Rattus norvegicus: one gene and its partner. The protein of the gene in region 1 purifies or fractionates together with the protein of each later gene. This does not show direct contact. Links are inferred from orthologs where the notes say so. Each region holds a gene or a part of one and is shown on either strand. Other genes may lie near its edges. The genes, in order: Map3k1 and Axin1.

Region 1 (3,815 bases):
TCAGAGAGAGATCCTGTCTCAGAAAGGGTGGAGAGTGACCGAGGCGCTCGCCGTCCCAGACATCTGCACGCACACAGTCACACCACTGAGCACACACAAGCATGAACTAGAGACGCACTCTTAAACCACACAAGGACTGGCATATCTGGAGCCATTGTTACATAGTATATAGAAGTGAGCCAGTCTATGTTCAAGAGAATGAGGTTTAACTCTGTGTCTCAGTGCTGTTTCCTCTGAAGTTAAGTTTTCAAACTATACCTTAATTGATTTAGATCTGTTTGAGACAGATCCTCACCTACGGCTCAGGCTGGGCTTGGACCAAGCACCCTTCTGCCTCAGCCTTTGAGTGCACTGCACTACCCAAAGGCACATGCCCTGCTTAGTAACTTTATTTCACACTTTTGGAAGCATTTCTTACAAAACCATAATCTATACAATTAGTGATGACCATCAAGAGAAATATGGAATTTAAACGGACCAAGAAAAAAAGATTCTTATACACCAAGCCATAAAACCACTCCTAAGAAAAGTTGCTGAGCTGGGGAATGCAGCTCGGTGGCAGGGGGCTTGCCTAGCATATACAAGGTCAGTTGGCAGGGGGCTTGCCTAGCATATACAAGGTCAGTGGCAGGGGGCTTGCCTAGCATGTACAAGGTCAGTGGCAGGGGGCTTGCCTAGCATGTACAAGGTCAGTGGCAGGGGGCTTGCCTAGCATGTACAAGGTCAGTGGCAGGGGGCTTGCCTAGCATGTACAAGGTCTGGGCTCGATTCCAGGCACAGCAAAACAAAACAGCAAGGCGGAAAAATTTTAATATTTACTAGATTTAAAATATAGACAATACTTTTTGTGTATGCCTGTATATTAGGAGTGGTTTGTTTTTAGATACCCAAGGGTATTTATAATGGGGCACTCAGCACGCTGTGTGCCAGCAGAACGTACCCGCCATCCACTCGATGAAGAGGTTGTAGTTGCTCTTCTCGCACGTGGCCCCCAGCATCCTGATGATGTTCGGATGGTTGAGGTGGCTCATCATCCTGATCTCTTCCCTCAAGGCTTCCACCACTTCCTCCTGCTCAGAAGATGTGTTTCTGACGTAGGTCACCTGTTTTAATAAGCACATTAACAGGATCTTGGGTTTTACTGTTCTAAGTTTTCAAACCAATCTGACGTAAAATGGCAAATCCAAACTACCTCACACACTGCAGCAAATGGCACTTACTCCAGGGATGCAGCATGCTTTATAAAAGCAGCAACTCAACAGGGAAGCACAAGCCAGACCCCTCTACACAAGAAGAATACAGCTCAGTGAGCAGATCAGAAAATGGCGTAAGGGTGCTGCGGCCAAGACTCTTACTGTACAGAACAGTAAATACGGGAAAAGCCAATGACAGGCTAACAATGACTTTAAAGAGGGAAGTCATCATTTCTGCATCCTAGCGAGTGCGTGAACTCATTATAGAGAGTGGGGGTCTTTAGGCGGCACGCGAGAAGGGCAGGAATGACCTACCAGCTCTCTGACCATTTTCATTCAGGACCTTACAGTGACCAGCTTCAACTCTTAAACATTTATTTATTTGTTACATAGAGGTACACTGTGGCTGTCTTCAGATACCAGAAGAGGGCATCAGATTTCATTACAGATGGTTGTGAGCCACCATGCAGTTGTTGGGAATTGAACTCAGGTCCTCTGGAAGAGCAGTCAGTGCTCTAACCACTGAGCCATCTCTCCAGCCCCCAGCTTCAACTCTTAAAAAGAGTTCATGTTTGTGCTGCTTCTGAAGCTTTTCCAAACTATCAAGTGTGGCGGCAAAATCTTGTAATCCTACCACTAGGAAAGCAGAGGCAAGAAGGTCCCAAGTTCGAGGCCAGCTGGGCTACACGATGCTTCCAAAACCAAACCAAACACCTCTACCACCAAAGCTCTAAGATGCCGGCATTTCGTCCTTTGAGTTCACAGCTGCATATATGTCATTTCATAATGTGAACACTCTCACCCTGTGCTCCCAATACTGACCTGTTTCACAGCCATTAAAGTTCCAGTGCCCACATCCTGTGCTTGGTAACAAGAAGAAAATGCTCCGAGGCCTATCTGCTGCCCTTTCAGCCACTCGGTGTCTTCTCTGTAGGGCTGCTTCGCTTTGGTATGCCCTGGTAGGGTTTCTGGTGTCTGTGAATTGAAGAATCGTTTTGCTGTTAGAAGAGCAAGATGCTATATAATTAGACCGAGAAATACTATTCTAGTTCCCACTCCACCCATGAATGGACACTGTGTAAGTGACAATCATTTCAGAACCGGCCAGAAGTCTCGAAGCGGCTAAGTACCGCTACTGCAACGACTCAGAGTTGTTGTCACGTGATTGCGCAGAAGGACGCTCACATCCGCCCCCCCTCGGAAGCACCGTCCCCGGCAGACTTCAGCACGGGCTCCCAGGACCGTGAAGACTACTCACATCCTGCTGGATGATGATGATATCCTCTCCATTTTCCACCTGCAGCTGAGGGACTATGGGGAGGGCGTCCTGAGAAGCCGACATTGCCATGGCAATCGCGAGCGCCTCCTCTTCCTCAGCCTCCATCTTCTCTTTGCACTTTTGATTGTGATTGACGTCATCTTTGTAGGTGTCATCACTTTCGGCCTTCTCAGGAGAGAGGACGGCGACTTCGGACTTGAAAGTGACTGTTGTGTCACTTGAAGGCATAGATGCTTCAAGAAGGTCCTCGATACTGGAGTTGAGCTCGGGGTTGACATCTAACCTGCACTTGTCCTCTGCTGGGGTGAATGCCGTCTCCTCACTGGGTATGACGGCGCCGCCACTGTTGCTGCCACTGCCAAAGCTGTCATCACACTGGGAAGCACTGTTCAGGTCGAGTGTCATGCTGTTCTTTGAGGCATCCCCTAGTTTGCTTGTGCTACCCGGAACGGGTCGGGATGGCTTTGGCCTGTGTATGTTACTGGAGGGTGGGGGTCTCGACTGAGTAAAGACTGGGGAGAGTTTTTCTGAGTCTCGGTTCTCAGAGCAGGTCCTCTGGAACTGTAGGGAAAACTTGCGCTGTGTTTGGGGAGACGCAGAGGGTATTTTACAGGGAACAAACGCCTGAGGTCTATGCTTAGAAGCATCTGTTACAGAGCCAGCTGGGACAGACGGGGCAGATGAACATGGGGCTGATATTGCTGGAAACATTAACTGAGGAGGAGACAAAGGAGAGGAGTTCAAACACTGACTGTGGGGTCTGCCTTTTGTTTGAACTGTTGGCTTTGGTTGTTCTGTTGTTGCTGAACTAGGAAGTCCTACAGAAACGCCAGCCAGTCTGTCAGAAATGTCCTCTGAGCTGGCACTCAGTCTCGTAGCTTTTAATCCTTTTCCAGTTTTCTCTACATGGGCTGTGTGCTCAAGGGAGCTGCTCTCTGGATAGCGGGGAGGGGCCAATGCCTGCGAGCTGTCCTGCTGGCCATCCAAAGTGTCTTCCGAACCCAGCTGGATGACCTCGGCAATTTCTACCTCGTCTGCAATGGCCATCAGACGCCGGCGCATCCTGGCGAAGTGGGAGGATCCAGAAGCACTTAGCATGGTTACCAGCTTGGAAAACAGGGCGGGCACTGTGGTCACCATTCGTGCTGAGCTCAGATAAATCCTCCGCGAGAGTTTGCCGACCATAGAGTGGGAATTGTCAATGGATTGCAAGGCAAAGGCTAAGAGGGACAGCAGCTTCTTATACCTGAAAGGAGAAACACCTTCAGTTACTACAAGAGCTCAAAGTACCAGAAATAAATGCACGGTTTTAAAAAGGCAATTTATAGCCTGCCCTGTACACA
Region 2 (3,815 bases), on another chromosome or scaffold:
CAAGAATGGGTAACATGTTCAGAGGCCATCTTGCCTCCTTCACCACTTGCCTCCTTCACCACTTGGCTTGAGGGCCGCAGAGCCATTGGCCCTGCCCCACTGGCAGCAGATAGTATATCACATATCCAAGGGAGGTTCAAAAACATTTTATTTCATTATTATCCAAGTACCTTTGAAAAGATAATTGTACAAGTCATCGCATGAAAAACGGGCTCAGGGTATCCCCTGCTGGCCCTGGCCTGAGAAATGTACATATTTACATGGACACTTGGAAGGGACCAGACCCCCCCCCTCTGCTGAACCAAGCTGGTGGCTGGAGACAGGCAAAGAGGCCTGAGATATTCAGCCGCCAGATTCACACAGTGGCAGGCAAGAGACAGCTATGTTGAAGGCACTCAGTGACATGTACAATATACAGAGGCCCCCACAGGATCCCCTGCTCCTGGACCTGAGCCCAATGAGGTGCAGTGGATAGGTCCCAGAGAGAGAAGAGGACACTAGGATACAAGCCCAGGGCAAAGTATCCCTAGGTCAGACTGTATTTAGAAGCAAGAGCTGCTGAGGGTCATGAGATGGCTCCTGGTATTGCTTCAGGGGTAGTGTGGGGGTAGGTGCGGCTTTCCCTTTGAACAGCAAAACAGAGAAACCCATGGAACCACTCAGTAGGATGACCCTCCCACCCCCACTTTCCCAGAGCCAGAGGGATAGAAATTAGCAGACATCTGAGGCCCCCAGCCTCATCCCCTGGAAGAGCTCGTGACAATCTTGTGTTGTTCCCTACACCAAGCTCCTGAGGACAAGGCTGCCCACCTGGCGGATGCCACTGCACAGTAGTGATGGTAGCTCTGGGTGTGCTGCCCAGGGCTCAGTCCACCTTTTCCACCTTGCCGATGATCTTTTCTTCAAAGACAGGCAGGATGGCCTCATCTTCCCGTACTTCCTCAAATACCACACCACAGTCAAACTCGTCACTCACTTTCTTAAAGTAGTATCTAGGGACAGAAAAGTGTGCAGACAGTGAGAAACCTGCTCCAAGAGAGGGATGCCTGCTTGTCCTTGACCCCCTAGAAGTCTAGCCACCCTAGAGTACAGGCTTCCCCCAGACATCAAGCGGGGCTCCTGGTTGGTGCCTGCTGGGCGGTGGCAACACTTGGGGTAGAGCTGGGACCACGGATGGGCTGAGTTACAGCATGTTGGGAATTGGCAAAAACAAAACAAAACGAAAAATCTGGGAGCCCCAGTCTTGACATGCTTCTTATGCAAAGAGAGCAGAGGTCTCGGGCCCCGCTTTGCCATCTACATGGGCTGACTCCAGCAGGCTTGACAGGTTCTCATGTCACTCAGGGAGCAGTAATCTGTCTGTCTGTTGGAGTTTCCAAGTTGGCTGACGTGGAGGGACAGACAGGTCTAAGGCTAGAACAAAGGGCCAGTCAGGCTCTGAGGCAGGGCCTGATGCCACCACACAACAGTGTGCAGCATCCATGGCTGAGAGGAGTAGGGTGAAGGGGAAGATAAGACCAATGGAACAGAAAGCTTTTCCTTTAGACACTAAACCAATAGCATAGCGGGCAAATATGCTCAATGGCTTCAGCTTCTCTCACCTGTAGCTCCCCTTCTTGGTTAGCAGCTCCTTGAACTGGCCCAGGGTGACAGCACGGCCCCTCACCAGGGTCCGGTAGGGTATTGGTTCACCACAGAAATAGTAGGCCACAACGATACTGTCACATGGTGGTGCACTCCCGCCACCTGCCTTTCTTTGTGATTTTGTCCTGGGGCAGAAATAAAGTGGTAAGTAGTGGGCTCAGGGTGATATCACAGAGAGTACCTCAAAGGTACCATCTATCAGCAGAAGACAAGATATCCCAGGGTTAGCACCTCATTCACCAATGTGGTATTCACAGGCCCTGCCACCCACCTACCCAAATCTGGGTGCCAGTCCTGTGTGAACCACTCACTGGGAAATGAAGTACAGGTCTAGCTTTAAGAACACACGCCCCACCAGATCATGACCAGGCCAGGCACACAAAGTCCCATCTCCAAGGATATAAAGGGAGTTGGTTCCTAGGCCCTGTCAAGTTCCAACCTCTCCAAACTTCCCTAAGTCTCAAGGATAGACCATAGACCAATCAGTGCTGTACAGATCTGGAAGGGAAGTGTTCCCAGGATGGCCAGGATCTCCAAAGTAGACTAGAGACCTGAGCTATTTCCTGCTCAGGTCCTCAAAGTGCTGTGAGGCTGTTCCAAGTCTGGATGACAGGCAATGCTCCTGTGCTCCTGTATCTTTCAATCACCCAGAAGCTTCCACAGCTGGCTTCACCCATGGCCACAAGTGGGCCATTTAGGCTGTGAGACTGTCTGGGTTCTTGGACTTTTCCTGCAATGGGCTTCAGGAGGGCCACCTGCAGAGGCCCCAGTACAGGCTCTGATGACACCCTCTCTTATGCAATGACTGGGATGGAACGTGTACTGGGTCAGCAGCAGGGCTCATCCTCCTAATTGAATGAAAGTACAGGAAGGAAGTCAGGCATGTCCCTAACCTACATGTGACCATGGGAGAGGAGGCACACAGCCTAAGTCCTGGCTGCAGTCACACTGTCCAGATCCTACTTTAAAGCTGGCTCAAAGTCCCAGGATCCAGATAGTAGACCTGCCAATCCCTGAACCTCGCTGAGAAGCTCAGGAGAGCAAAGACAAAATGAAAGGCAGGCTGTGGTACCTGTAGGACCTAGTGATCATGTTACCACCACGAAGAGGCATGATCTCCTTTATTGGGAGACAAGAGGGAGAAGCCCCAGCACGTCTTTCTCCAGCCCTGCTGTTTTCTGGCTCAGTGACAAAACCTATCAAAATAGGTGGTCCACTTTGGAATTTGGTCTGGCCTGGGCTGGGCTGGGCAAAACCAGGAGGACCCACAGGGCGCACATACTCTGTCTCGGAGAGTTCCAAGTCCGACACGGCTGGTACCACACTCAGCACCGGTGCACATGCTGGCCTGACACAGGTGCGTCCCCGCTGCATGACTGCCTGCACATACCTAGGGAACAACCCGCATCAAAGAGGATGGGGTTCAGCCAGTGTTGTGGACAATGGGCATAGAAAGGGTGAGAAGCAGGACCTCGCCGTCAAAAACTCCTACTCACATATTATCAGATGCCCTGCCATAGGTATCTAGACACAGGGTCAATGTCAGTCTGTTCTTTGGAATACACTCTGGAGAACTGCTGATCTAGATGCTATAAGCTGTTACTTCACCCCTTGTTCAGATGTCTTAAAGAGGATCTGCCAGGACAGAAATGTGGCTCTTTCTTACAGTTTCTAGCACAAGCTTCCTGAAGATGATGTGGATATCTGATATGGTCGGTAGCAGTGGTTCTGCTGTACAATATCTTGGGGAATTCTTATTGCTGTGACTAAGGCATGTCCCAGAGTCTGAGCAGAGCCTTTCTAAGTGAACCCTCTACCTTGGAGTGATGCCACTATGGGTTCCTAATAGTGACTTTACTTTGATCTATCTTAATAGGGCCTGCCAACGCCTAGGACTTTCACTTCATAAGTCTACACTTGCTTACACAGTTCCAGACCGACAGATTTAACATGATCAGTTTTATCACAAATGAAGATTTTGGAGGCACCAGCTAAGATCTGGGGTGTGTGTGTGTGTGTGTGTGTGTACACGTGTGTGCGCGTACATGTGCACACATGAGTAATGGTGATAGTTGTGCTGGTGTGTGTGTGTGTGTGTGTACACGTGTGTGCGCGTACATGTGCACACATGAGTAATGGTGATAGTTGTGCTGGTGTGTGTGTGTGTGTGT

What was found.
Region 2: the proteins of Map3k1 (region 1) and Axin1 purify together in Homo sapiens (affinity purification with western blotting; 5 studies listed by BioGRID and IntAct, with this or other methods). This does not show direct contact. The link is inferred for Rattus norvegicus from reciprocal best matches to the Homo sapiens genes MAP3K1 and AXIN1.

What each region holds. Positions count from the first base shown.
Region 1 is NC_086020.1:45,088,969-45,092,783, forward strand, and holds part of Map3k1 (mitogen-activated protein kinase kinase kinase 1), read right to left. Parts: intron 3,719-3,815; coding exon 2,452-3,718; intron 2,169-2,451; coding exon 2,016-2,168; intron 1,104-2,015; coding exon 941-1,103; intron 1-940. UniProt on the Homo sapiens protein: Component of a protein kinase signal transduction cascade. Activates the ERK and JNK kinase pathways by phosphorylation of MAP2K1 and MAP2K4. May phosphorylate the MAPK8/JNK1 kinase.
Region 2 is NC_086028.1:15,716,408-15,720,222, reverse strand, and holds the end of Axin1 (axin-1), read right to left. Parts: intron 3,035-3,815; coding exon of another isoform or gene 2,927-3,034; intron 1,770-2,926; coding exon 1,602-1,769; intron 993-1,601; coding exon 866-992; 3' UTR 131-865; downstream 1-130. UniProt on the Homo sapiens protein: Component of the beta-catenin destruction complex required for regulating CTNNB1 levels through phosphorylation and ubiquitination, and modulating Wnt-signaling.